Stegostoma tigrinum: one gene and its partner. The protein of the gene in region 1 purifies or fractionates together with the protein of each later gene. This does not show direct contact. Links are inferred from orthologs where the notes say so. Each region holds a gene or a part of one and is shown on either strand. Other genes may lie near its edges.

What was found.
Region 2: the proteins of protein tyrosine phosphatase domain-containing protein 1-like (region 1) and mapk1 purify together in Homo sapiens (affinity purification with mass spectrometry; 3 studies listed by BioGRID and IntAct, with this or other methods). This does not show direct contact. The link is inferred for Stegostoma tigrinum from reciprocal best matches to the Homo sapiens genes PTPDC1 and MAPK1.

Annotation. Positions count from the first base shown.
Region 1 is NC_081364.1:27,305,808-27,321,457, reverse strand, and holds the start of protein tyrosine phosphatase domain-containing protein 1-like, read left to right. Parts: upstream 1-9,839; 5' UTR 9,840-9,911; coding exon 9,912-10,125; intron 10,126-10,800; coding exon 10,801-10,972; intron 10,973-15,650. UniProt on the Homo sapiens protein: May play roles in cilia formation and/or maintenance.
Region 2 is NC_081379.1:44,395,164-44,410,784, reverse strand, and holds the start of mapk1 (mitogen-activated protein kinase 1), read left to right. Parts: upstream 1-9,337; 5' UTR 9,338-9,375; coding exon 9,376-9,503; intron 9,504-15,621. UniProt on the Homo sapiens protein: Serine/threonine kinase which acts as an essential component of the MAP kinase signal transduction pathway. MAPK1/ERK2 and MAPK3/ERK1 are the 2 MAPKs which play an important role in the MAPK/ERK cascade.

The DNA of each region.
Region 1 (15,650 bases):
TTTCTTCATTTGTGGTACATGGCCGTCACTGGCTGCCTAACATATATTGTCCATCCAACTTTTCCATCTCCCCTTACACTGTTGTCCCCATTATTGAGTCTAAAGCGCTAGTTTTATGGTTTGTCAGTATACTAGATCTATGTGGTTCAGGTGAAAGCTGTCCTGATGGTACTGATCCTTCTCCAGTGCTGTTGTCAATACCCCATGAATTGAAACCCATTTTTCCGATGCAATCTTTGAGCTATGTATTCAACAGCCTGGTATTATATACACTGTGTCAATTTGTTTGTAGATCAGATTGTAAATCTGACAATTGTTACCTTTTTTGTTTTGCTTTTTAATTTAGTCCATTGCTGTTCCTACTACTCAGCAGAACATCTTTTAGTTCCACCTTTCATTTGGCTATGAATGCTGGAACCTGCTCCTCCCACTGTCTGTTCCATTGCAGTGCTGACAAGGAGTCCTTATCCTGTGTCCTAGGTGGGTAACACAGCCTTCAGGACTTGTGTTCTTTGTCTACAGAGAACAGTGTCTATCTCTCTGCCTTTTGAGCGCTGATTTGGTAAGGTTACTAGTGGTTTTTTTTTCGTCCACAGCCTGTTTGGGAATTCAGACAGTGGGAATGGATGTTTGGGCAGTTGCATGCTCCTCCTGTAGAATGTGGGAGGTATGGGTCATCTCTAGTATCCCCACTGACTTCACCTGTGGCAAGTGTATCCAACCCTAGCTCCTTGGAAACCACGTTAGGGAACTGGAGTTGGATGAACTTCAGATCATTTGGGAGGATGAGGGCATAATTGAGAGTAGTTAAAGAGAGGTAGTCACATGCCAGGTACAGGAAAATGTAGATGAGTTACAGTCGGGGGACAGAAAGGGAACAGGCAGACAGTGCAGGGATCCCCTGTGGCCGTTCCCCTCAATAACAAGTATACCGTTTTGGATACTGTTGTGGGGGATGACTTACCAGGGGTAAGCTGTGGGGTACAGGACTCTGGCACAGAGTCTGTCCCTGTTGCTCAGGGAATGGATGAGAGGAGGAGAGCATTAGTCATTGGGGCCTCCATAGTTAGAGGGAACAGGTCGTAAATTCTATGGGAATGAGAGACACTCGTGGTTGGTGTGTTGCCTCCCAGGTGCCAGGGTGTGTGATGTCTCAGTGTTTTCGGAATCCTTAAGGGGGAGGGTTAGCAGCCCCAAGTCATGGTCCACATAGGCACCAGCGACACAGGTACCAATGACGGAGGTAGGAAAAGGGATGGGATGGGGATATAAGGCAGAAATTCAAGGAACTAGGGTGGAAGCTTAGAGCTAGAATAAGCAGAGTTGTTATCTCTGGCTTGTTACCTATGCCACGTGCTAGGGAGGCGAGGAATAGGGAGAGAGAGCATTTGAACATGTGGCTACAGGGATGGTGCAGGAGGGAGGGATTCAGATGCCTGGATAATTGGGGCTCATTCTGGGGTAGCTGGGACCTCTACAAATAAAATGGTTTACACCCGAACCAGAGGGGCACCAATATCCTGGGGGGGGGGCGGATTTGCTAATGTTCTTTGGGAGGGTTTAAACTAATTCAGCAGGGGGGTGGGAACCTGATTTATAGCTCCACTGAACAGGAGGTTGAGAGTAGTGAGGTCATGAATAAAGTTTCAAGGTCGCAGGAGTGTACCGGCAGGCAGAAAGGTGGTTTGAAGTATATCTACTTCAACGCCAGGAACATCCAGATAAAGGCGGGTGACCTTGCAGCATGGGTTGGTAAATGGGACTTTGATGTTGTGGCCATTTCAGAGACATGGATAGAGCAGGGACAGGAATGGTTGTTGCAGCTTCCGGGGTTTAGATGTTTCAGTAAGATCAGGGAAGGTGGTAAAAGAGGTGGAGGTGTGGCACTGTTAGTCAAAGACAGTATTACGGTGGCTGAAAGGATGTTTGATGAGGATTCGTCTACTGAGGTAGTAATGGGCTGAGGTTAGAAACAGGAAAGGAGAGGTTGGGAGTTCTCTACAGCCTCTGAAAAGTTCCAGAGATGTAGAGGAAAGGATTGCAAAGATGATTCTGGATAGGAGCAAAAGTAACAGAGTAGTTGTTATGGGGGACTTTAACTTTCCACATATTGACTGAAGACGCTATAGTTCGAGTACTTTAGATGGGTCAGTTTTTGTCCAATGTGTGCAGGAGGGCCAGTCAAGGATAGTAGTCGGAAGTTGTGCGTGGAGTCTGAAGAGATAGTAGAGGCATTAAGTATTTTTCGTCAGTATTCACACGTGAAAAAGACAATGTTGTCGAGGAGAATACTGAGATGTAGGCTATTAGACTAGATGGGATTGAGGTTCAGAAGAAGGTGGTGTTAGCAATTCTGGAAAGTGTGAAAATAGATAAGTCCCCTGGGCCGGATGGGATTTATCCTAGGATTCTCTGGGAAGCTAGGGAGGAGATTGCAGAGCTTTTGGCTTTGATCTTTATGTCGTCATTGACTACAGGAATAGTGCCAGAAGACTGAAGTTTAGCAAATGTTGTCCCCTTGTTCAAGAAGAGGAGTAGAGACAACCCAGGTAATAATAGACCAGTAAGCCTTACTTTGGTTGTGGGTAAAGTGTTGGAGAGGATTATAACAGAGGATTTATCATCATCTATAAAGGAATAATTTGATTAAGGATAGTCAACACGGTGTTACGAAGGGTACGCCATGCCTGACAAACCTTTATTGAGTTCTTTTGAGAAGGTGACCAAACAGGTAGATTAGATTAGATTCCCTACAGTGTGGAAACAGGCCCTTCGGCCCAACAAGTCCACACTGTCCCCTGAAGCATCCCTCCCAGACCCATCCCTCTATAACCCACACTCCCCTGAACACTACGGGCAATTTAGCATGGCCGATCCACCTAGCCTGCACATCTTTGGATTGTGGGAGGAAACCGGAGCACCCAGAGGAAACCCACGCAGACACTGGGAGAATGTGCAAACTCCACACAGACAGTTACCCGAGGCCGGAATCGAACCCGGGTCCCTGGCGCTGTGAGGCTGCAGTGCTGCCCTGAGGGTAAAGTGGTTGATGTGGTGTATATGGATTTCAGTAAAGCATTTGATAAGTTTCCCCATGGTAGGCTATTGCAGAAAATACAGAGGCATGGGATTGAGGGTGATTTAGCTGTTTGGATCAGAAATTGTAAGAAGACAGAGGGTGGTGGTTGATGGGAAATGTTCATCCTGGAGTTCAGTTACTAATGGTATACCGCAAGGATCTGTTTTGGGGCCACTGCTGTTTGTCATTTTTATAAATGACCTGGATGAGGGTGTAGAAGGATGGGTTAGTACATTTGCAGATGACACTAAAGTCAGTGGAGTTGTGGACAGTGCGGAAGGATGTTGCAGGTTACAGAGGGACATAGATAAGCTGCAGAGCTGGGCTGAGAGGTGGCAAATGGCGTTTAATGCGGAAAAGTGAGAGATGATTCACTTTGGAAGGAGTAACAGGAATAGAGAGTACTGGGCAAATGGTAAGATTCTTGGTTGTGTGGATGAGCAGAGAGATTTCGGTGTCCATGTGCATAGATCCCTGAAAGTTTCCACCCAGGCTGATGGGGTTTTTAGGAAGGCGTATGGTGTGTTAGGTTTTATTGGTAGAGGGATTGAGATTTAGAGCCATGAGGTCATGTTGCAGCTGTACAAAACTCTGGTGTGGCCGCACTTGGAGTATTGCGTACAGTTCTGGTCGCCGCGTGATACGAAGGATATGGAATCATTGGAAAGGGTGCAGACGAGATTTACCAGGATGTTGCCTGGTCTGTAGGGAAGGTCTTATGAGGAAAGGCTGAGGGACTTGAGGCTGTTTTTGGGAGAAAGAAGAAGGTTAAGAGGTGACTTAATAGAGGCATACAGGATGATCAGAGGATTAGATATGGTGGACAGTGATTGCCTTTTTCCTTGGATGGCAATGGCTAGCACGAGGAGACATAGCTTTAAGTTGAGGAGTGATAGATATAGGACAGATGTCAGAGGTAGGTTCTTTACTCAGTGTAGTAAGGGTGTGGAATGCCCTGCCTGCAACAGTAGTAGACTTGCCAACTTTAAGGGCATTTAAATGGTCATCGGATAAACATATGGATGATAATGGAATAGTGTTGGTTAGATGGGCTTCGGACTGGTTTCACTGGTCGGCGCAACATTGAGGGCCAAAGGGCCTGTACTGCGCTGTAATTTTCTATGTTCTATATTCTGCGTTCTGCATTCCCTGATTGAATGGCCTGTTGAACTACAGTGCAAGGATCGGTTTGTTCATCCTTTGTGTAGTTCCTTCTGTCTCTCCTCGCTCCATCTTCCCCTTTCTCTGTCTCAAGCTGTAAGAACCTGAAAGCTATAGAACAATTGCAAGGCTGAGACTCCTCATTGATACCTTTTTTAGATCCACGTAACTGCCTTTCCTACAGTTGCATCTCCCTGTCCATGACCATAAACGTAATCTGAAATACTGCACTTGAGGAATGTGATGGTTTCCTGAAACAAACTCACAGTAATTTTACACTTCCTGACTCATTGCAATGTCCGGCTCATCAACTCGAAGCAGATATTCCTCCTGCAGTGGACACTTTCGATATGGTTGGTGTAGGTCACAAACTATGCTTGCTGACCCCTGGTGCTATGGACAGAGAATGCATTCATAGGGTATTCAGGACAGTTTCTTTTGAGCAATATATTCCAGAACCAACCAGGGAACAGACCAATTTGGACTGGTAATGTGCAATGAGGTAGAATTAACAAATTACCTCAGAGCAAAGAGTCCTCTAGATAAGAGTGATTGTAGCATGTTCACATATCACATTAAGTTACAAAAAATTGGTAGGTGAGAAATTTGGTTTAGAACTTTTAAACTTAAGTATAGGCAGTAACAGTGTTGAAAGCCAAAATTGGTTGAAATGGAATGGGTTAAAAAGGTTAAATGCAGGTTTCTGGAAAAGCAATGACAGATATTTAAAGAGGTATTTCATATTTCCCTTGGTTTTGCTTTCAAGGAGGAGGTAGATATAGCTCTTGCGACTAAACAGATCAAGAGATATGGGGGAGGGTGGGATCCTTATCCCTAGTATTGAGCGTGGTAATTAGTCATGATCATAATGAATAAATGAGCTGGATCAAGGCATTGAACAGACTCCTCTTATCTTTTGTTTTTCTATGTATGTTTCTATATACTTCAGAAAACACAGAAAAATAGGTTAGGAGATTGCAAAAACATTAAACACCAGCGAAGAATATATGGAAAGTGGAGAATTAGGCAAATCTAAGAAAACTAACAAGTGAAACTGGATAAATTACTGAATAATAATAATTTAACATTGTTGGGGGGGGGGGGGGGGGAGTATGGAAGGCTATGAACCATTATTTTCTAACTGTCCTCACAGGAGTAGACTCCAAAAAGCATCCTTATAAATTGCAGACAAGCAGGGGCAAAAGGGCAGGAAGAATTTTGAACCGTCAAAATGTAGACAACTCTGGCTGAATCATTATTATTCAGTTTTAGCAAATTTTTAGCAAAAGGCTACTAGTTTTAAATGTTTAATGCAACCACAACTATTGTTGGGATGCCAGCGCCACATTTTTTCATACTTTTTCCTCTTCATTCTGTTCAGCTACCACAGAGTCCACACCAAATTCTCATATTTTGCCTGGTCGCATTTCCGTTTCCCACACAGTCATCCTCGTGAGCTGTTTAAGAAGTTTGGCAATTTCGTGCTGCTGATCTATTTTCCGGAGCAGCTCATTTAATACTTAGAAGTCTTAAGGACTGGCTAAAACAAATCATGCACGACAGTACGTGTCTTGACGCTATATTTTACCCTGTGCTTTGCGGCTTTCCTCTATGGAACAGGCAGTGTAATTGGCTCAACAATACAGCGTTTGCAGTCACAGAGTTACACAGCGTGGAAACAGACCCTTCGGCCCAACTTATCCTTGCCAACCAGATATCCTCAAGTGATCTAGCCCCATTCTCAGCTTTTGGCCCACATCCCTGTAAACCCTACCTATTCATGTACCCATCCAGATGCCTTTTAAGTGGTGTAATTGTGCCTTCCTCCACCGCTTCTGCTGGCGGCTTGTTCCATACACACATCACCCTTTGTGTGGAAAAGTGTCCTTTAGGTCCCTTTTTAAATCTTTCTGCTCTCACCTTAAACCTGTGCCCCTTAGTTTTGGAACCCCTTGCCTGGGGAACAAGATCTTTGCTATTCATCCTGTCTATGCCCCTTATGATTTTATAAATCTCTCAAAGGTCACCCCTCAGTCCCTGATGCTCCAGGGAAAAAGCCCCAGCCTATTCAGCCTTTCTGTACAACTCAAACCTTCCAATCCTGGCAACATCCTTGTAAATCTTATCTGAATCTTTTTAAGTTGAACAACATCTTTCCTATAGCAGGGACACCAAAGTGGCGTCACTGTCTTCTGCAGTCGCAACATGATCTCCCTGCTCCAATACTCAGTGCACTGACCAATGAAGGTGAGCGTGCCAAACGCCACCTTCACTCATCTGTCAACCGGCACTTCTACTTTCAAGGAACAATGAGCCTGCATCCCTAGGTCAGTTTGTTTGGTAACACTCCCTGACATCCTACCATTAACTGTATAAGTCCTGCACTGGTTTGCCTTATGAAAATGCAAAACCTCACATTATCACATCTGCCATTCCTTGGCGCATCTGATTTCATGTGATATAATCTTGCTAATCAGTCTATCATGTGGAACCTTGTCAAATGCCTTGCTCAAATCCATACAGACAACGTCTACCATTTTGCCTTCATCGATCATCTTTGTAACTGATTCAAAAATCACAATCAGGTCAGTGAGACATGATTTCCCAAGCACAACGCCATGTTGACTATCCATAATCAGTCTTTGCCTTTTCAAATGAATGTAAATCTGGTCCCTCAGAATCCCCTGCAACAATTTGCTTGACACTGAATTCAGTCTCACTGGTGTCTAGTTCCCTGGCTTTGCCTCGTCACCGTTCTTAAATAACGGCACTACATTAGCCTCCTTCTAGCTCCTGGAACCTCTCACATGGCTGTTGATGATACAAATATCTCAGCAAGAGGGGCAGCAGTCTCTTACCTACCTTCCACACAAAGCTCTGGGTTACATCTAATCTAGTCCTGCAGGATTGATCTACCTTTATGGATTTTAAGACCTCTGCACTTCCTCTTCTGTCATGGACAGTTTTCAAAACATTGCTGTTTATTTTGCCAAGTTCACTAGCTTCCTTCTGCACAGTTAATTCTGACACAAAATATCTTTTAGAATCTCACTTATCTCCTCTGGTTCCACGTGTAGGTGGCCTCATTGATCTCTAAGGGGGTCCTATTCTTTCCCCTTAGTTACTATTTTTTTTTCCTTATTGTATTTGTAGGATCTCTTTGGATCGTCCTTAACCCTATTTGCCAAAGCTATCCTGTGTCCCTTTTTGCTCTCCTGATTTAGTTCTTAAGTATACTGCTACTCCCCTTATACTCCTTGAGGGATTCACTCGATCTCTGCCATCTAAACCTGATGTTTACCCCATCCTTTTTCTTGACCAGAGCTTCAGTTTTTCCATTCAGCATTCTCTACACCTACCAGTCTTGCCCTTCGCACTAACAGGAACACAGTGTCTGTCTCTGATCTCATTATCTCATTTTTGAAGGCGTCCTATTTTCTAATCATCCTCTTACCTGCCAATAGCCTCCCCCAATCAATTTTTGAAAGGTCCTACCTCATGGCTATCAAAATTGGCCACCTTCCAATTTAACTTGTAGATCACGTCTATAATTTTCCACAACTATTTTAAAACCGTTTAGAATTATGATCACTTGCCTAAAAGTGCTTCTCTACTGATACCTTGCTCACTTGACCTGTCTCATTTCCCAACAGAAGGTCAGGCTTTGCTCCTTCTCTAGTTGGTACATTCACATACAGAATAAGAAAATTTTCTTGTACACACTTAACAAGTTCCTCTTATTCCAAGTTGTTAAAATTAGGGCAGTCCCAGTGTACATTTGGAAAGTTAAAATCCGCTACTATTTTTACAGATATCTGAGATCTCCTTACATATTTGCTTCTCAACTTCCCACCAATTATTGTGGGAGGACACAATCTCCTCTGGTTCCACATGTAGGTGGCCTCATTGATCTTTAAGGGGGCCCTATTCTTCCCTTTAGTTACTCTTTTTAGCACAATCTCGATAAGGTGATCATCCCTTTCTTATTTCTTAATTTCATCCAGATAATTTCAGTGGAAGTTTTCCCAGGAATATCCTCCCTCAGTACGACTGAAATGTTATCCTTACATAAAAACACCATCCCCCTCCTATCTTGTCTTGCTCCTTTCTATTCCTCCCAAAGCATCGATGCCCTGGAACATTAAGCTGCTCGTCCTATACCTCCCTGAGCCATGTTTCTTTAATAGTTATGATATTCCACATTCCCAACCATGCTCTAAGTTCATCTGTCAGACTTCTTGCATTGAAATAAATGCAATTTATGTTAAGGTCGGCTGCTAAATGATCATACGTTTATTCTTTAGAGTTAATCATATTTTCTGAGTTTCCCTCCAGGAATATTGACAAAGGGACGTAATTCCCTGATTCGATGAGCATATAATGGAAAACATGATAGGTAAGGTGTCTTATGGGAAATCTAGGAGCAAACATAGCACGTGTGTGCCATTACAATAAATTAGATATCTATGTATATTTCAACAGATGCTGCCATGGCTACAAGAATTTCCCTACATCCTGAACTGCCTTACTCTTCATTAGAACATAGGAGGTATATTGTAACTTCAGACAAAGGTAAATTAATATTTCATGTTTTAATAAACTTGCTGAGCTACTTTACTGAACTAACAACCCAGAGGCAGTGAGTTCAAAATTCATATTTGCTAGTTGTGAAATTGAATTCAGTTTAGCTTTATTTTAATACTGTAGTGTAAATTAGAACAATTGGGATGCAAGTACAGTTAAAAGACATTTGGATAAGTACAGGAACAGGAAAGGTTTGGAGGGACACAGGCCAAACACAGGCCGGTGGGATTGGTCTAGTTCGGGAACATGGTTGGCATGGACTATTTGTATCAAAAAGTCTGTTTCCATGCTGTATGATTCTATGATGCTGTGAATAAATTAGTAATGCACAGTACTGATTTTGTTAGAAAAACAATGGTCCATATTGTCAATTTGTGAGGGAACCAGGCAATTCCCTCCTGGTGCAGGGGAGCAAATTCTACTTCAGACCCCTCACTTTTCTGAACAGGGGCATAGCTTTAAAGTAAATGGTTGAAGGGTGAGAGGGGAGATAGCAAAATGTTTTTTTTTCACCCACATGGTAGGGACCAGGAATTCAGTAACTGAAAGGATGATCGAGGCAGAAGCTCGCCATATTCATAGAGCATTTTATTTGTCAACTGAAAAAAGACTGATCAGCTGGATTTACAAACTTAGTGCAGGAAGGTGAGCTAATACTGTGAGGTTCTTTGTCAATTAGCACATGCATGAAAGACTGATTTCTTTTTTCCTGTCAAGTTTATTATTCCGTTGCATTTACAGAATGGATCAAAGAATAATTCATTTTATTTAACATGCTACATTGATATACACAAACACAAAGCTTCCAAACCTGATATATGAAGCAGCTGCACAATTGGTCTATTAAACTGCAAAGATATTGCCGAATAGAATGATACCTTTCCCAAACTGCAACATGACATGACATGGACTATCATAATTGGCTCTGCTAGTTGTTACTATGGAAACTCCTTAGCCTCTCCTAAAGGACTGATGTAGTCTATCAGAATATCATTAGATTGCAGTGTAACTTCCCTGTAATCTTGTTTTTTTTTGCAAGCTGTAGCTGTTCAGTGGTGGCAGTCTTGAGTGTTTCAAGCAAATCATCATGCAGGGATCTTCCAGAAGGCATTCAGCAGTAGAGTATTTGAGCGGCTTCATCCAGAGTCAGAGGCGCTCTGCTTCTGATAGCCTGGTCAGAGTTTTGCAGAGACGTCGGAGCTCAGCCATCGAGATGCTTTCATCTACATCTCACCAGGTTATGGTTGCTGTATCATCAGTCAGTATTGAAGAGGCTAAAACTAGCCTATTACCAGGAAGAAGTACTTCACTTTGATGTTATTATTTAGGATTTCACTATAATAGATATATGCATACATTTCAAACTGCAACATTTTTAGTTTTTTTGGTGTATTTTGTTTCAACTGTTTATTTTTGACTACATCCACAGTTCCGTGCATGTTTTTATAGAAGTGTGTCTTGGATGTTGATAAAGCTGCAATTTATTTTTAAACCAAATTTCAAATAGTGATTGTGAAATAGATGTATATAAATTGTACATTTAGTCTATAAAGGTGCACTAAATGTTGTAGGGTTAATATTATGAGAGAACTTGAACCCTCCCAACATGGGCTGATATAGGGGATTTTACTAAATGGAAAGTTTTGGGAAACCTGATTTTGAATTTCTGATGTGTATTCCTGCGCTGCATTAGTCTTGTAATTTGTAAAATTATTACAGGCATAAAATGGTATGCTTGAAAGTTGATTGTTTACTTAAAGTAAATTAAATAATTTGTTTCAAATCTTCCAATGCTATGCCTTTTGTATTCTGACATTTTGTCTAACAATTAGTATGTGTTTACTACAAGAAAATAAATGTTAGAGTCAACTATTTTCACAGCTTGATTAAACAAAGTCCTTAAATAAATTCATTTGAATTACAATTATTACCTTGCCACTTTGAAATGTACTTGATTGCCTGTTTCTTCATTTCAGGCAGTATGCGACGTCCAACAGCCAAGTATACCAAAGTTGGAGAACGCCTGCGGCATGTTATCCCAGGCCATATGCAGTGCTCAATGGCATGTGGTGGTCGTGCATGCAAGTATGAGAATCCATCCCGATGGAGTGAAGACGAGCAAGCTGTAAAAGGATTATACTCTTCATGGTATTACTTGTTGACTTTTTATTTTGAAAAAAGTTACTAATTGATACTTGACTAATTACTCCAATATATGCACTACACTGACATAACTTCATAAAATGTTTCCATTCTTTATCAAGTAAAGGATATTGACAAATTGTGGTAGAATTATTATTAATTTGGAATAGCATTCATAGCAAAAGTAATTTGTTAGTTTAAAAAATAATAATTATGCAACTTGTATAATTAGGTAGCTAACAATTTTCAGACTACTATATTTGTGGCATTGATAATTTAGAAAAGCAAAATTAACATTAAAATGTATTAAATGTGCATGTATGTGGAATTTTAAGCTTGGCTAAAGCAATCTTTCTAACCTGATTTTAAAAAAAAGTACCATTGCCTTTGCTTCACTGACAGACGTCAATAATGAAACCTAAGAATGTATTTTTATAGGGGGAGGTAATGGCCGAGTGGTATTATTGCTGGACTGTTAATCCCGAGACCCAGATAATGTTCTGGGGACCTGGGTTTGAATCCTGCCATGGCAGCTGGCAGAATTTGAATTCAATAAAATATCTGGAATTAAGAGTCTAATAATGACTGTGAATTCGTTGTCGATTGTTGGAAAAACCCATCTGGTTCACTAATATCCTTTAAGGAAGGAAACTGCCATCCTTACCTGATCTGGGCTGCATGTGACTCCAGACCCACAGCAATGTGGTTGAGTCTGAACTGCTCTCTGGGGCAATTAGGGATGGGCAATAAATGCTGCCGAGCCAGCAAAGCCCTCATGCTGTGAATGAAAAAAAAGTTTACATGCATCTTAGGAGAAATTGCTGATGTTTCTACTTGCTTGTATTTTGAAAAAGCAAACCAAAGAAATTAGTTCTCCTCCTGCTGGATCTAAATGAAAGTTTTTGTTTTCAAATACAGCCATCAGGGAATGAATATCAAGAGTCCAAATTTATTTTTCTTATGTTCCACCTAAATTGACCAATAATCTTTCATTACAAGATCTTTATTGTAACTAAATAATGATGTACACTTCTCATGTTTCTGAGCTATAATTTTAATAATTGATTTCAATTAATCTGGTAACTTGGTGCTTAAGTTGTCTGAATCTTCCAGCTCAGTGTTTTATGCCCACCAAATTGCTGGAAGTGCCCAGTGATGATAACCATGTGAGAGGAACATGGTATCCGCAATTTGGTGAATAACAGGACTAACAAGGTATGTCTTTAACCAGTGGGTTTTAACAATTGAGAAATAAGATGAGGAAAGATTGAGAAGATAAATATTAAAATTGCTAAATTCAGTGCCAAATCCGGTAGAGGGGAAGAAAGATTGGATTAAGACATCAAGAGGGGAAAAAATGAAACAAAACAAAACAATTTTTAAGCTTTGGAACATTTTATTCTCTGAAAATTCACTACCTGAAAAAGAGGCTCGCATTGTGATTTATTCATTTTCTGGTGAGTGAATTGATTGGTTTTCTGTAACAGTTCTTGCATTGTTAGAAAGATATTTATTCTCTTAATCACTGCATGTAACTTTGCTGTGCAGAATTTCATGGATAATTAGGAATCTTGGAACAGGAGCAGTTCATTCACCCATTCAAGACTTTTCAACTGTTTTGTGAAATCATGTATTATCCAAACTCAAAAGCAGATTGAAAGTTGAGCCAGGGTCTACTTTTTTTTTGTGAGACTGAGTTCCATGCTTCTACCATCGTTTGCATGAAAAAAGCTTCTTCACTTCTCTACAAACAATAAATTTTAAAGTTATGTCTTCTTTTCTGAGACTCCCTACCTGCAAACAAAATAAATTTGTCTTGTCAATTTATTTTAAAATCTTAAAAGTCTCAATCAAATTATTATTCAATCTTCTATATTCCAGGGAATGCTGGCATAATTTATGCAATCCTGGCAACAGAGCAGCATAAGTGATAATGGGAACTGCAGATGCTGGCGAATCCTGATAACAAAGTGTGGAGCTGGATGAACACAGGCCAAGCAGCATCTCAGGAGCACAAAAGCTGATGTTTCGGGCCTAGACCCTTGGTCAGAGAGGGGGATGGGGAGAGGGTTCTGGAATGAATAGGGAGAGAGGGGGAGATGGACCGAAGATGGAGAGAAAAGAAGATAGGTGGAGAGGAGAGTATAGGTGGGGAGGTAGGGAGGCGATAGGTCAGTCCGGGGAAGACAGACAGGTCAAGGAGGTGGGATGAGGTTAGTAGGTAGGAAATGGAGGTGCAGCTTGAGGTGGGAGGAAGGGACGGGTGAGAGGAAGAACAGGTTAGGGAGGCGGAGACAGGCTGGGCTGGCTTTGGGATGCAGTGGGGGGAGAGGACAAACTGGGCTGGTTTTGTGATGCAGTGGCGGGGGGGGGTGGAAGGGGACGAACTGGGCTAGTTTTGGGATGCAGTGGGGGAAGGGGAGATTTTGAAGCTGGTGAAATCCACATTGATACCATTGGGCTGCAGGGTTCCCAAGCGGAATGAGTTGCTGTTCCTGCAACATTCGGGTGGCGTCGTTGTGGCACTGCAGGAGGCCCATGCTGGACATGTCATCTGCGGGATGGGAGGGGGAGTTAAAATGGCTCGCAACTGGGAGGTGCGGTTGTTTATTGCGAACCAAGTGGAGGTGTTCTGCAAAGTGGTCCTCAAGCCTCCGCTTGGTTTCTCCAATGTAGAGGAAGCCACGCCAGGTACAATGGATACAGTATACCACATTGGCAGATGTGCAGATGAACATCTGCTTGATATGGAAGGTCATCTTGGGGCCTGGGATGGGGGTGAGGGAGGAGGTATGGGTGCAAGTGTAGCACTTCCTGTGGTTGCACGGGAAGGTACCGGGTGTGGTAGGATTGGAGGGCAGTGTGGAGCGGACAAAGGAGTCATGGAGGGAGTGGCCTCTCCGGAAGGCAGACAAGGGTGCGGATGGAAAAATGTCTTGGGTGGTGGGGTCGGATTGTAGATGGCAGAAGTGTCGGAGGATGATGCGTTGTATCCGGAGGTTGGTGGGGTGGTGTGTGCGAATGAGGGGGATCCTCTTGGGGTGGTTGTGGCGGGGGCGGGGTGTGAGGGATGTGTTGCGGGAAATGTGGGAGACGTAGTCAAGGGCGTTCTCGACCACTGCGGGGGGAAAGTTGTCCTTGAAGAACGTGGACATCTGGGATGTGCGGGAGTGGAATGCCTCATCTTGGGAGCGAATGTGGCGGAGGCAGAGGAATTGGGAATAGGGGATGGAATTTTTGCAGGAGGGTGGGTGGGAGGAGGTGTATTCTAGGTAGCTGTGGTCGTCAGTGGGCTTGAAACGGACATCAGTTACAAGCTGGTTACCTGAGATGGAGATTGAGAGGTCCAGGAAGGTGAGGGATGTGTTGGAGATGGCCCAGGTGAATTTGAGGTTGGGGTGGAAGGTGTTGGTGAAGTGGATGAACTGTTCGAGCTCCTCTGGGGAGCAAGAGGCGGCACCGATACAGTCATCAATGTACCGGAGGAAGAGGTGGGGTTTGGGGCCTGTGTAGGTGCGGAAGAGGGACTGTTCCACGTAACCTACAAAGAGGCAGGCATAGCTGGGGCCCATGCGGGTACCCATGGCCACCCCCTTTGTCTGTGGAAAGTGGGAGCAATCGAAAGAGAAGTTCTTGAGGGTGATGACTTTCCATATTAAGCAGATGTTCACCTGCACATCTGCCAATGTGGTATACTGTATCCATTGTACCCGGTGTGGCTACCTCTACATTGGGGAAACCAAGCGGAGGCTTGGGGGCCACTTTGCAGAACACCTCCGCTTGGTTCGCAATAAACAACCGCACCTCCCAGTCACGAACCATTTCAACTCCCCCTCCCATTCCTCACACAACATGTCCATCATGGACCTCCTGCAGTGCCACAATGACGCCACCCGAAGGTTGCAGGAACAGCAACTCTCATTCCGCTTGTGAACCCTGCAGCCCAATGGTATCAATGTGGACTTCGCAAGCTTCAAAATCTCCCCTTCCCCCACTCCATCCCAAAATCAACCCAGCTCGTCCCCTCCCCTCACTGCATCCCAAAACCAGCCCAGCCTGTCTCCGTCTCCCTAACCTGTTCTTCCTCTCGCACATCCCTTCCTCCCACCTCAAGCCACACCTCCATTTCCTACCTACTATCCTCATCCCGCCTCCTTGACCTGTCCGTCTTCCCTGGACTGACCTATCCCCTCCCTACTTCCCCACCGATACCCTCCTCTCCACCTATCTTCTTTTCTCTCAATCTTCAGTCCGGCTCCCCCTCTCTCCCTATTTATTCCAGAACCCTCTCCCCATCCCTCTCTCTGATGAAGGATCTGGGTCCGAAACGTCAGCTTTTGTGCTCCTGAGATGCTGCTTGGCCTGCTGTGTTCACCCAGCTTCACACTTTGTTATCTTAACAACAGAGCAGCATAAGTTGCCTTGCACCTTCCCATTTCACAGATTATTTTTCCTTGCCCAAACTTGCTCTCTGATTTGCACATTTTCAGCAAATTCTGGTCAATAATCTGTGTCAAACCATTTTGTGATATTTCTTTTTTAAGCTTACCAGCTAAACTGAAGGATGTTATAATAACGATGAACAGGTATTGAATTAATCTGAAAGTATTCGAAAGAACCTTTAGTAGGGAGGGGGACAAGTGAATTAAAATTTAGAACAGCCATGGTTACATTTATAGAAGCA
Region 2 (15,621 bases), on another chromosome or scaffold:
TCATTTTCTGAAACTGAAATGTGGGCACAATTTCAACTTGCAAGTGACTGAAGTTGAGGGGGTTATAATCTTGCTCCTGAACTCTGTGGTCAGTGTATCAGAGATAGCTCACAGAAAAGGATTTTTAGTTCTGTGCGGACTTAATCTGGCTATTGTTTTACAACTTGTCCAGGCATAGGGAGTTTGGTAAAACAAAAACCATGGGAGAATTTTAAAGCAAAATCTGATGCCTCAATGAATAAGGAGCTATTAGGGATGAGCAAAACCTTGGTGAAAGCTAAAGGTTTTAAGAAGTGGGAAGGAGTGTTTTTATTGCAGGGAAGACAAGTTGAGGAGGCTTAGGGAAGGTTCAGGTGAAGAGGCTGAGGGAATTTTTGGTTTAAAGCTCTGGCAGACATGCCTACAGCTGCCTAATGGTGAAGCCAATTAAAATCAAAGTACAAATTCAATCTACTTCATGTGAGGTACATGGCTATTATTGAGTGGGCTTCCGTTATAGAAACAAGTGGGTTGCCTAGAATCATAGAACTGTACAGCACAAAAGGGAACCATTTGGCCTCCTGGATCTGCACCAGCTATTTCCGTGGATTTTCTGAACAGTAAATTATGCTGATTTTAATGTTATTGGTCTTACTTTCCTCGCAATAATCATTGCCGCCTCATAAATCTGTTCTCTAATCCTGTTCAGTTTCTAAGGAAAATAGAACCTGTTCTTTGTAAATTTATCTAGCTAAACAACCTTACGAACAATGAAGCAAGAAAGATGGAAAAAGCACATCTTACACTCTACACAAACTCCCATGCTGCTCCAAAATCTTGGAAATATAGGGCTGTGCCCCACCCTATATGTAATTGCTGTTTCATGATCGTGCAAAGCTTACTGATCCCATAAATGAATATTTAAGAAGCTACATAAACATAGGAGGGAAGAAAAGATAGAGTATGTCGATAGGCTTAGATGAATAAAGATATGAGGAGGTTCATGTGGAGCATAAAGCCGTTTGGTCAAATGACCAATTTCAATGCTGTAGCAGCTATGCAACACTCTGCATTTGGCTGCAATTAAATTTTGAAAAGTTTTCTGTGGAGATAAAGCCAAATTTTAAAAGAATGCTTATTGAATCACACACTTTGGTCTCCATAGCACATGTAAGGTATTGACCAATAGGGGAAAGTTGAATGAAGGTCACCAGGATTGAGAGGATGAAACTATCAGGAAAATAGAGAAGAGTGCGGTAGTCTGCTCAAAGATCACACCTTGCAGCAGTCTTTAAATTATCGCAGGGGAATGATATTGTAAACATGTAGGCTTTGATTATATTCATGAGTACAGAGCATTGGGACACTGGTATGTAGTAACCACAAAATTTAGGAGGAAGCATTATCTTCAGGGAGCGTTAAGGATGTGGAATTTACTGCAACATGGATTGGCCAAACTAGATAACATTGATACATTTAACCTCAATTGCTAGTATGAGAGGGAATAAAAAGGCAATATTGGGCATGTGAAAGGTCATCAGAGTGACAGGAAGCTCATGTGGAGAAGAAACTTCAGCACTGACCAGTTAAATCAATGGCCTCTTTCAGTGCTGGAAATATATTTTAGTTTGAGCTACTCAAATAATATGTCAAATCTTGCCTTGTCACTTAGAAGGCTGAGAGTTCAATTCCTACTTCAGAGGCTGGAACATGTAATTTGAGTGACATTTCAGTATAACACTGTGGATTCTTCACCACTGGAGATAGCATCTTTTATTCAAGACATTAAACTTTTTCTGTTCTCTCAGGTGGACATGAAAAAAATACCATAGCCCTATTCAGAGGGGAGCAAGGAGATCTCCCTGGTGTCCAGTCATTTTTTTTCTCTCTCAAGCAACATCGGTAGATTTCGGAAGGATAGGACCAGGTCTTTCAGTCCTCAAATCTCTTCCAGTGCACAATTAGCTCACGGTGGTTCATATCTTAACTCTATTTTACTTCCTGTATTCTGTAATCATTGACATCCTTGATTAATGGGAACGATTTAACCTTAGCCTTGTCACTTTAAATTTCTTTACCAGCTCAATATCTTTTTGGGGAACAGAATTCCAGATTTCTTCTACTCTTCACATGAACAACTGTTTACTAACATCCCTGCTACTCCTGTGTTTAGATCAGGGGACAAAAAAGGAGGTATACAGCATGGCTGATGTGCTTGATAAGTATTTTGAATCTGTCTTCACCAAGAAGAAACTACCAAAGTCACAGGAAACAAAGTGGTAGTTGGGAACCTGGAAATCTGGCTATACTTAATGTAGGCAAATCTCTAAATTGGACGCAGATCTGAAATCAAAACAGAAATACTGGATATACTAAGCAGATCTTGCTGATTGTGGAGAGAGAAATAGAATTAACATTTCAGGTGACAGACTTGGAAGGTTAATCCTGGATGGGATGCATCCTAGGTTGCTGAGGGAAGTAAGGGTGACATTCTGGCTTTGAGGTTCCAATCTTCCTTATACACAGGTGATGCTCAACGACTGGAGAATTGCAAATATTACATCCTTGATTCATAGCCCAGCAACAATAAATCAGTCAGTTTAACCTTGGTGGTAAGCAAAACTTTTAGAAATGATAACCTGAAACAAAATTAACAGTCATTCAGAAAAGTGTAGATGAATCAAGGGAAGCCAGCCCCAGGACAAAATTGTTGAGGGCAGTGGTATGATATATATTATTTTTAATCAACCTGTTTGATAATGTTATGATACACCTAAGGGGCAGGTGGAACTTGAAACCAGACGTTCTGGCCCAGAGATAGGGGCATCTGCACTGCACAAAAAGACTCAACGATGTGATGTATGTAGATATGTCTCATAACAAGCTTGTCAGCAAAGATGAAGTCAATGGAGCCAAATGGCTGCATGCATGTGAAATTGGTTCAGTGACAAAACAGAGAATAGCGTGAACAGCTATGTGACAAATAAGGAACAGTGAGGTTCCCTAGATTAATACAAGGACAACAATTTTTTTGAGATATATATGTTAGTATTTAAGAGGTGTGAGTGGTTAAGATGTTGCTAAACTTGAAAAGATTCTTATTGTCAGGGTTGGAGGGTTTCAGCTACAGGGAGAGGCTGAAAAGGCTGGGGCTATTTTCCCTGGAGCATCGGAAACTGCGATGTGACTTTCTAAAATCATGAGGGGCATAGATAGGGTGAATAGCCAAGGTCATTTTCCCAGGATTGGGGAGTCCAAAATGAGAAGGCACAGGTTTAAGGTGAGAAGGAAAAGATATGAAGGGACCTATCAGGAAACATTTTGACGCAGAGGACTGTGCGTGCATGGAATGAGCTGCTGCAGGAAGAGGTAAAGTCTGGAACAATTACGACATTTAAAAGTCATCTGGATGGATACATGAATAGGAAGGGGAGTTTAGAGGAGCATGGGCCAAATGCTGACAAGAGGGACTGCATTAATTTGGAATATCTGGTCATCATGGATGAATTGGACCTAAGGGTTGGCTTCCTTGCTGTTCAGCTCTATTATTCCATGACCTGGGCGCAGAGGGCACAATTTTAAAGCATGTAGATATCTCAGAAATTGAAAGTATGTAGAACAGCAAAAAGAAAAGTGACAGATTTCAAGAGGATGAAGACACTCAGGTAGGCATAAGAAATTTTAGTGAGAAGTGCAAAATTATACTTTTGATAGGCAGGGGAGGCAATACCATATAAATCACTTCTAACTGGGCAGCGAAAACAGTGACCTAGGGATTTTGGCAACAAATTGTTGCAGTTTGATAACTGATTGAAAAGCACAGGGGTTTTTGTACTTTATTGATGGTGTCTAATCTTCTCCTTGGGTTCCTGGCCTGAAGACAGGTCTGACCCAATGCACCACCTCTTCCATAGGTAAGAGAAGTAAACAGGTCAAAAACCATGCTAGCTGGAATAAAAACTGAACATATGCCAATGACACTAATCTGATCCGTGCCAGGTCACTGCTCACTGAGCCAACTAGCCTCCAAAGACAGCCCAGTTACTGTGGCAACATTCACTTTTGTATGCAAATGGTAATCCTGAGCTACATATAGTGGTGGTGGAGATTTCAATTTTCTTTTCATATCTGGCTGACCAGGAATTTCTCCTGGCCCTAGTGGCTGCCATTGGTGTTTGACGGAAAGATATACAAGTTGATTACTCAATCTGTTTCGCTGCTTTTTGAACCAACTTCCTGGACCATCAAGTCCTAGAGTGGAACTTGAACCTAGAACTGCTGCATATATCCACTGCTCCAAAGAGCTCCTTTAAAGCAAATATAAAAGCAACGTACAGCAGATTCTGGAAATCAAGTAAAAGGACAAAGTTGTGTAAGTACTTCAAGTTTCGCAGCATGTGTGGAAACAAATGTGTCACTAAAGCCTCCTCAATTTCCACTGACAACCCAGGATGCATTTCTTCTAGACCTGGTGATTTATTTACAAAGGTGTACAAAGAGAAGCAAATCTGCTTTTAATTTGCTTCTTTCGATATTCCACTTTATTAACTACAAAAGCAAGGAAGTTCTGATGAATCTATATAAAATACTGATTCCACTATGACTGGAATACAGTTTCTAAGTCTATGCAAAACATTTTAATCACATTATGAAGGTCTTAGAGAGGATACAGAAAAGATTTATTAGAATGGTTTCAGGGCCAGGAGCTCCAGTCATGTGAGTAGACTGAGGATGCTGAGGATATTCTCAGAAGACAGAAAGATAGAACATAGAAAATAGAACAGTACAGCACAGAACAGGCCCTTCAGCCCACGATGTTGTGCTGACCATTGATCCTCATGTATGCACCCTCAAATTTCTGTGACCATATGCATGTCCAGCAGTCTCTTAAATGACCCCAATGACCTTGCTTCCACAACGGCTGCTGGCAACGCATTCCATGCTCTCACAACTCTCTGTGTAAAGAACCCGCCTCTGACATCCCCTCTATACTTTCCTCCAACCAGTTTAAAACTATGACCCCTCGTGTTAGCCATTTCTGCCATGGGAAATAGTCTCTGGCTATCAACTCTATCTATGCCTCTCATTATCTTGTACACCTCAATTAAGTCCCCTCTCCTCCTCCTTTTCTCCAATGAAAAAAAGTCCGAGCTCAGTCAACCTCTCTTCATAAGATAAGCCCTCCAGTCCAGGCAGCATCCTGGTAAACCTCCTTTGAACCGTCTCCAAAGCATCCACATCTTTCCTATAATAGGGCGATCAGAACTGGACGCAGTATTCCAAGTGCGGTCTAACCAAAGTTTTATAGAGCTGCAACAAGATCTCACGACTCTTAACCTCAATCCCCCTGTTAATGAAAGCCAAAACACCATATGCCTTCTTAACAACCCTGTCCACTTGGGTGGCCATTTTAAGGGATCTATGCATCCTGCTGTTTTGATAGGTGTTCAACATCATGAATGGCTTAGACAGAATTGTGTTACAGAAGGAGGCTGACAGTCAAATCAAATCAGCCTCCCTTTCCTCGTATTCACAACACAGTAAAATTAGAATATTCCATGACCCACAAAATTGCCCCAATGATTCATAACCAGAATTTTTGAATACCTCACAGTTCATAACCTAAAATAATTTTAAAAAATATTAATTACACAGTAGCTTTAGCAGAGCAAAGTTAAACAAGGTAAAACAGTAATTTAAACCCAATCTTCTTTGATTCTAGACCTCCACTTGCACAAAAGCAGATAGACACAGTTAAAGGATAAATTAAAAGAAAAAAAAACAGATGAAAAGTGACTGGCAAATTCATTTAACCTGTTTCCACCCTGTAGCATCACAGGTGCATAGGATTGCAGCTTGCTTGGTTTCTGAAGACACCGATCAATGCAAACAGTTTCCTGTAAGCTCCAAGGGAAAGTCGCTTAATTCTTATGACTGAAATTCTATTCTCTGAAGTCTCAATAAATTGGTAATTGGACAATAATAATACTGTAGTCATACATCCTTGCTGTAGCTTTGGCAGCCATAATCATAGTGACAAAAACACAGTTCAAAATCTGTGCAAACCTTAGTTTCTCTTTTGGATTTTCTTAACATTATTTCTCTTAGGCTGACTGCTACCATAACTCCATGAGGCCCCATCTACATCCAAACATTTACCATCTGTTTGAGAGTAATGCATCTTTGGGACCAAAATATCTCTACAGCACTTTGAAGAAGAATCCAACTGCAATTAATTTCCAGGCCTGGTCTGAAACAAATATTTTTGTTTGAACAAATGTTCAAATGGTTGTTCCCTTTCTAAAAAAAAATGCTGCTGCTGACAGATCAAAGATAGCCTTCAGCTCCAAACCAAAAATAATGAAGGTCTCAAGAAGAGAGAGAAACTATTCCCTTTGGTGGAAGGATCCGGAATTGGAGATCGCAGCTTGTAGGCAATTGGCAAAATAGTTGAAGGCAACGTGAAGAAAAGTCTTTTTGGGCAGTGAGTAGTTAGGATCAGAAATACACTGCCTATGTTGGAAGGATAAAGTTGCCAGAAGACTGTACAGTTGCTCTCTTGTTATAGAGAGAATGACTGGTGGTAGTTTAACCAGATGTCACCATGCATCAGGTGAGGGGAGAGGTTGAGAAGGTAGGACCTTCATGGTAACCTCAACCGTGTTGAAACTGAACATGCCTTGTTGGCATCAATCCACATCACAATCTAGCCAGCTGAAAAAGGGGATGTGATGGCTTTGTGGTGTCATTCATGGAGAAATTTGCAAGAAAATAAAAACCACAAGTCAATCACGAAGTGGTCAGTACATAGCATCCTCAAGACACAGCAGGAAAAGGAGAGGGTGGATCCAGTCGTGTGGGTCCCTGAACAGACTGTCAAAGTCATTTGGCAGAATGCCTCATCACTAGAACTTTCTGACCAGCACCAAGACATCACTTGGCTGATGGTAAGAAGGGCACGACCTGAGAGATCCTTCATGTACACCTAGTTGGTTTGCGCCACTGCATGCTGCGGTCGAAGCAGCTGCAGGGACGTTGAGACTATCACACACCTTCTGGAATGTGGTTTTTTAAAGGCAATCTGGAGAAAGACACAGTGGTTTTTGGCAAGGTTCATCCTGAGCATCTCTGGGACACAGGACTCTGTACTCTATGGTCTGTCCCCCATACTGAGACAAACATCAACTGCACCTGGAGCCCTCGATTCAGTGAAAGACGTTCTTTGGTCTGCCCAAAACTTGTTGGTCTTCCAGAACAACTATTGCAGACTGGCACATTCCAAGGTCCAGGACTATGTGCTCAGGGATATTGTAAAGTTTGGGGCAACTGCTGCCATGACGCCACTGTCTGAGGTCTTTCTGAAGTCAAACAGGTGTCTGTTCAATTATGAGACCCTCCTAGTGCCTCAAATGCATGTAAATATAGTCTTGTACATGTAAGAGACGTCTGTGGTTTGTTTGGATACGGTCAAACTCCAATGTTTGTTTACTTCCTTGATATGCTACTGTACAGAACTGAACTGCATTTGTAACTATATGTGTATAAAAGATATTTTTTAATGAATAAAGTATGTTTTTGAAATTAAAAAAGGTATTATCACTGGACAGTTAATCCAGAGATCCAGGTAATATTCAGGGACCTGGGTTCGAACGCCACCATGAATTCGTGGAATTCATGGTCTGGTCTACATACGACTCCAGACTCACAACACAGAAGCATAGAAAGTAGGTGCATTAGGGATGAGTAGGGTCATTTGGCCCTTCAAGCCTGCACCACCATTCAGTACGATCATGATTGATCATGCAATTTCAGTATCCCATTCCACTTTCTCCCCATACACCTTGATCCCATTAGTTTCAAGGGCCACATCCAGCTTCATCTTGCATCTATCTAATGAACTGGCTCCAACAATTTTTTGTGGGAGAGAATTCCACAGGTTCACAACGCTCTGAGTGAAGAAAGTTTTTCCTCATCTCAGTCCTGAATGGCTTATCCCATATTCTTCGACTGTGATGTTTAACTCTAGACTTCCCCAGCACTGGGAACATTTTTCCCACAGCTAACCTGTATAGTCCCATGAGGAATTTATGTTTCCATGAGGCTCCTTCCTCTAAAATCCAGTAAATATAAGCCCAGTCAATCCAATCTTTCTTCATATGTCAGTCCTGACAGCCTAGGAATCAGTCTGGTGAGCCTTTGCTGAACTTTCCCCAATGGCAAGATTATCCTTCCTCTGACTAGGACGTGGCCTCACCAAGGTATAAATGGAGCAAGCCATCTCTACTCCTATGCTCAAATCTTCTTGCAATGAACGCCAATAGCTTTCCTCACTACCTGCTGCACCTTCAGCAACTACTCCACCATGAAACCCAGGTCTCGCAGCACCTTACCTTTTCCTAAATTGCCACCATTCAGCTAATAATCTGCTTTCCTGTTTCTGCAACCAAAGCCGATAACCTCACATTTATCCACATTAATAATAAAATGTGAGGCTGGATGAACACAGCAGGCCAAGCAGCATCTCAGGAGCACAAAAGCTGACGTTTCGGGCCTAGACCCTTCGGCTGCTTGGCCTGCCGTGTTCATCCAGCCTCACATTTTATTATCTTGGAATTCTCCAGCATCTGCAGTTCCCATTATCTCTGATACTATTTATCCACATTACACTGCATTTGCCAAATATTCACCCACTCGGCCAGTCTGTCAGAGTCACTTAACAGCCTCTTAGTATCCTCCTTACTGCAAACACTGCCACCCAGCTCAGTGTCATCAACAATGTGGTTGACCCTTAACTACCCTCTGGGTAATTAGGAATGGGCAATAAACGCTGGTCTGACCAGCGACAGCCTCATCCCGTGAGCGATATAAAAACATACCCCTCCTGGTCATTACCCTAAGGCTTTGTACAGGTTCTTGCTGTGCATAAAAATCGCTCTTTCTTTCAACACATTAAATTTGCTTCACAAGTACTTCATTAACTGTAAGATTCAGGAAACGTTTGGAAACAGGTCACTACATAAAATATGAACACTTCATTTCCCCTCCCTTGGCTCTTCACCTCGAAATCAAACTCGGCGATTCAACCGTCGTCCCTCAACTTTGGATCACATGGCCTACCACCGTCCAATCGAAGCACACCCCAGCTCGTTTAGATCACGTGATCAAATCTCGTCCGTTCAATCGTAGCTCCCGCGGCTGTGACCACGTGGTCCACCACCGTCCAATTGAATCACCCCACTCCGCCTTGAGTCACGTGCCCAGCACCATCCAATCGAATCGCTAACCGCTGGTTCTGGATCAGGTGGTTCAATGTGGTCCAATCAACCTCCTCCCTGTCACATGTGCCTGCCTGTCCAATAGCCACGATCCTTGGTCATTCCGGATGATCTGAGTAAGATGGCTGCTGCGCCTACTTTGCCTCAGTGCGCAACCGGGCCTGAAGTGATTCGTGGGCAGGTGTTCGACACCGGGCCGCGATACACTAACCTCAGTTACATCGGGGAGGGAGCTTATGGCATGGTTTGGTGAGTGTGATCTTTCAGGATAGTGGTGATGAGAGAGTGTCCAAGTTCGAGTCCGTAGAGGGAGGGGGCGGGAGAGGAAGCAGAGATTTGGGGGGCAGTGGTGTGGACGGTGGGATAGTAGAGAGAAAGGAGTACCAGGAGAGGTGACTGAGTATCGTCCGGAAAACGGAGGCCGCAGGATGCTTCGGGTCACTGGTCGGAATTAGGATGGAGGAGATGAGGGTGGAGATTTGGAGGGAAAGAGAAAAAACTGGGAAATAGAGAGGTCCAGGCGAGCGAAAACGGGTGGGGGTAGAGAACAGTTAAACAAATGGGGTGGAGGCTTTAGGGAAAGTGGGCTGTGACTGATAGAAGGAACGAAATTCCAGTATTTTAGTGAACTGAAGGAGAGACGAGGAGAGGATAAAGGTAGAAGAGGAGTCACGACAATTGGGTGTAGCAGGAACTAGTTGGATACAATTAAGAATATGGCAAAGGCTGTGAATTTATTGGGGTTCGGGAGAGTGGAGACGATTAGGTAATTGTGCAGGCTGTAAGGCTATAAAGAGTGTTTAAATTTGGAACGGACCTGAAGCCTGTTCATTGTATTTTTGATTAGATAATTGTAGCTTGCGTTTCTTATTGTGTACTGGCATGCCTAGTACAAATGACGTATAGCAAGTACTGAGTGCAAAACTGAGATCGAAGTCTGGCGATGCTAATGGATCTTTCTCTTTGTTCAGATGTGCTTATGCTTTTATAATTGTAATGAAGTCTTTCAGAGGTCCTTTGTAGCAAATACTTGATGGCAATTGGGAGTGCTGTGCAGTAAATTAAGCAATACTACTCTAAGTATAGAGAACAACTTGAAGATGTTTTCTTCCATTTCCCTTTTGGAACGTTATGCCTGCTACAACTGGCCAGACTTCTTGCCTGTGCTTGCAAAACTGTTTCTGCTGCTGTGTAATATGCCCTAAAATGTAAAGGTAGATATGGCAGCACCAGCAATTGCAGCATCCAGCTGGGAAGAAAATTACTGAAAATATATGCAGCAGGTGTAATTTTGATAAAAGTTTATTTTATATGTCAGTTTATACATATCTTTTGAAAAATGACCAGGGCAAGTTGTGGATAAACAGCTGTCTTCAATTAACAACACGTTACTCTCCTCAGGCAGATTTTTTTTAAGCTGAGTTGTCATTCCACAGACTTTGGCAGATTTCCATTCTTTTGCCCGAATGGTCATTTTTCATGCAAGTCTAGACACTATAAATATTTTCACTCTTTGACTGTTGTGATCAATTCAGCCCGGCCCAAACTTGTTGCCCAATATTTCATGTATTTTACAGTAGGGCTTGCTGAATGACGATTAGAAGAGAAAAGTTTCCTCCTTGGTCTACAGATGTTGAAATCAACTGTATCTGAACTAAAACTGATTTCTTAATTTTAACAGGCTTACGCCTCAATAACAAGTCTCACCTACTCCAAGCGTGTGGAATCATATGTTTGAACAAGTGGTTAGAAGACATTTACAAGCTCTATTTGATGAATAAACTTGCAGATATGCTCATTCAGGGCATTCTATTTACTTGCTATTCTGTTGAAGAAACTCCCTTTTTAAAAACACGTCATTAATATGGATAGTATAAAGTGTATGACTATTATCTCAGCAAAGTATTCCGGCAAAAGATCTTTGTATGCTTGTTGTGGTTGGCTTTTAAATCCCAGAAATCTCATCTCATTTCCTGGGGTAGTCATGCTGCTGATAATGGATAGATGTTAGCCTAAATGACCATTACATCATCAGCTCTGTTTAAAAATTCTCACAAGTAATAGCTTTAGTATAACATATTGTTTAAATTGCTTTCCTGTTCTGCTAAGTTTATTTTTTTGTTGTCAAACTAACTATTCCTAGTTTTATAATAAGAATCTTTTACTAAAGATTAGCAGGGAAGACCCTCAACTGAAATGCCTCCATGCCAAGACAATGTTTTGTGTAAATATTATTCCTGGTTTATTTGGTTGAAACAGTACATAGCCAACTGGAAGTTTTAATAACACCATATTTTTGTGTGAAAATACTTCCTTGTCATGGCTTGCTGTTGTACTCTGAGGACCTGACCACATTGATCTAATAACCTCAGAGGCAGTAGGCCATTGTGGTTAATTAAAATATGAGGCATAAGTATAGCCAATTCAGATCAATGCTGTGTCCCACCAGGGTTCTTGGAAAATACTCTTTTGGAAAAATGGTATAGTTTCTTAGACATTACTGTATTTATGCTCATCGTGCCAGTTAAAACCTCCTGACTTAGTGTTGTGATGTAGTGTTTTCTTTTGGTTGTAAATTAAGGTGAAGTTACACAAGCATGAATATTACTTAAGCAATAGAAAGGCCTATGTGAAAAATACTTTGATCCACTCACTGATACAGAACTTTATTAGGTAGGGTGCACTCGTGGATAATAAGTATTGGTGTGTCGTTTATTCAAAAATTTAATTTCTTTTTTATTGAAATGTTTTTGATTTGATGTGTCTGGTTCAAACACTTTGGTTTTTGTGGAATTGCATTTGTAAGGAAGCATGTATCAGTTTAGAAATTAGGTTCTGTCATTTACCCTGATCCTGAAGAGTGGTTATAAAAATATCAAATGCACGGCTTTTTTTTTACCCCCTCTGGGGCTCGACCTTCTCCCACATGGTGCCTTTGAACTTAATGGATGCTGTAGATTATTTATTTATATGGCTTTGGGCAGGGAAGTGTTCTGAAACATGGAGGAAAGATTTTGTCTGTAGTGCACAGCGCAATTTAATTTTCCTTTTGGATCCATGCAGTGCCAGAGCTTTCTTAGACTTCAATTATGTAAATACAGCTATTCCTAAATTAGGTGTGCTTTAAACTATTTTGGAGCCCAGGTCCAATTCCACTGCTCTTCCTACTTATGTGGAGTCCAATTAACCTGACGTGCCTGTATAGCGCTTTTTGGAAGCATACCTATGTGTTGCTTTTCTATATCCCTATACGTTTCTTATACCGAAGTAGTTGTGGATCTGGCTTTTAAAATGTTTAAGTAGATTTGAATATTTTTTTCAGGTAGTGTTGCAGACTGTGACAACTGATTTCAAAATTTCTTATATCCATTGCTGCTGTTCCACCAGTGATTTTTTAAATCTATGGTTTGTGGCTATTGACCCAATCACTAGAGGGAATAGTGTTTCTCTCCCTACTCAATCAAAACCCCTCATCATGTTAAACCCTTATTGGTCACCTCTTACTGATTATTCGCAGTCCAGAGGGAATTGTCCTAACCTTTCTAAAATCTTGTAATTGCTGGAGTCCCTCAATTTCATCTCTCACTTTTTAAAACTCTTTGTATAGCTTTTGATGCATTTCTGAAATGTGTTTCGAATTCTCCATAGTACTTCAGTTATGGTGAAAATGATTAAGTTATTGTAGCATGAGCTCCTTCCTGTTTGTTTATTTTTCTCTATTTAAGGGCAAGAGATACTCATGCGCTTTCTTAAACAGCTTAGCAACTTGTCCTGATCATGTGGATTTCACTATTTGGTCACTATGGCTGTATCTTCCCTCCTATTGTTGATGTTTTGAAATTTAATGTAAAATGATCTTGGGATTGTTGCAACATGGGAGAGAGGAGTTGTAACTAATTTATTTCTTCAGTTCAGAATTTTTTGTGAATTTGCTTGTGCTGAGGTTGAAATGAATGTCTTTACAAATGATCTCAGTTGTCTCCAAACAACATTGAATTAGTAATGTTGTAATATTTCACTAATGAGATAGTCGTACTGTTTACTTACATTTCACTGCTGTTTTAATTTCCTGCATGTTGATCTGGCACCTATTTAGTCTTGACCCTACTTTGTTTCTGTTGATCTATGCCATTGGGTTTATTTTGATGGCTTACTAACAACAGTTGTGTTTCCACTCATGCTACATAGTTTCTTCTCAAGAAGGCAAATAAAATTCCACATCAAGCAGAGGTTCACCTGCACATCTGCCAATGTGGTATACTGCATCCACTGTACCCGGTGCGGCGTCCTCTACATTGGGGAAACCAAGCGGAGGCTTGGGGACCGCTTTGCAGAACACCTCCGCTCAGTTCGCAAAAAACTACTGCACCTCCCAGTCGCAAACCATTTCCACTCCCCCTCCCATTCTCTTGATGACATGTCCATCATGGGCCTCCTGCACTGCCACAATGATGCCACCCGAAGGTTGCAGGAACAGCAACTCATATTCCGCCTGGGAACCCTGCAGCCATATGGTATCAATGTGGACTTCACCAGTTTCAAAATCTCCCCTTCCCCTACTGCATCCCTCAACCAGCCCAGTTCGTCCCCTCCCCCCACTGCACCACACAACCAGCCCAGCTCTTTCCCCCCCCCCCCCCCCCCCCCCCCCACCCACTGCATCCCAAAACCAGTCCAACCTGTCTCTGCCTCCCTAACCTGTTCTTCCTCTCACCCATCCCTTCCTCCCACCCCAAGCCGCACCCCCCGCTACCTACTAACCTCATCCCACCTCCTTGACCTGTCCGCCTTCCCTGGACTGACCTATCCCCTCCCTACCTCCCCACCTACACCCTCTCCACCTATCTTCTTTACTCTCCATCTTCGGTCCGCCTCCCCCTCTCTCCCTATTTATTCCAGTTCCCTCCCCCCATCCCCCTCTCTGATGAAGGGTCTAGGCCCGAAACGTCAGCTTTTGTGCTCCTGAGATGCTGCTTGGCCTGCTGTGTTCATCCAGCCTCACATTTTATTATCAATAAAATTGTTACTTTGCTTTGGCACTTGAGGTTCATTCAGTGGAAATGTGGTACAGTGTCACTACTACCTTGCTGTTTTGATTTCCTGATTCCACCCTATGATTTGTGATAGAATGCATTTCTGACATTTCCATTGCTAATTCTGAAATAGCTTGCAATAACCAAAACCTTTTAACTTGATAAAGTCAAGTGATAATACCTTCCATTGAATTGTACATGCAAAACAATAGGAATCCATTCAGCTCATCATGCCTTTGTAGGCTCTTTGAACTATCCAGTTACTTTCACTAACTTGCTCCTCTCCATTTGCTCTATTTGTTTCTTGTGCAGTGTATGTATATCTAATTGCCTTTTGAAAATTTTCGGTGTCTGCTTCCAGGGAGCTTTCAGGCAATATGTTACTGATAATTGTAACTCACTGCAGAAATATCTGTATTTATCTCCTTTTGGCTCTTCATCAGTTATGCTAAATCTTGCCAATCAGTGCTCGTGGAGTTTTTCCTTATTTACTATCAGATCAGTATCCTTCAAATTTTTTTAAGTTTAATCACTTAGGTTAACACAAATCGTATTCAAATTTATTTTTTGAATTCCGCCCATGTGATTTATTAACTCACCTGGTTGTTTACATTTGTGATGTAGCTGATGTTTCCAATAATTGGGGTTGAGGGGAGGACATGGGCATAAAATTGGACTTGAATGCTTTTGCCTTTGTTAACAATTAAGAGCATAAAATGTCTCCTGTGCTGTGTTATGGGTATTGAATGTGCATTCTGTCCTGTCTATGTGATTGAGCAGGAGCTTATGGCTATAGTGAAGTCTTTTTGCTTGCTAGAACAAATGTTGTAGTTGCTTAAATAATTTTGCAACTTTTAATTGCCCTAAAGAATTAAATCTCTTGTACTAATAGCATTTTCAGAGATTGACTGAATAGCAGTCAGTCAATTTAGATTTGTCTTGGTGGTAAAACTAAATAAATCTTGATTTCTAAATAGCCTTAAGTTTTTATGTAAACTGTGTATTTGCTATTGTTTACATACACCAGGTATTGTTAACTGTTGTAATTAAAATATTTCTTTAATGACCTTAAGCTTACATAGGGAAGAGATAGCAAGAACTGGAGATGTTTCAGTCAAACTAGACACTATGGAGCTGGAGGAATGCACTAGGCCAGGCAGCATCAGAGGAGCAGGAAAGTTGAGATCATAAGAAGGGCCCCAACCTGAAACGTCGACTTTCCTGCTCCTCCGATGTTGCTAACTTACGTAGGGGAGTTCAGCTTTGTCCAGATTTCATACATCATTTGGATAGTTACATTATATTTAATTGTGATGTAAATTTGTGTGATGTTC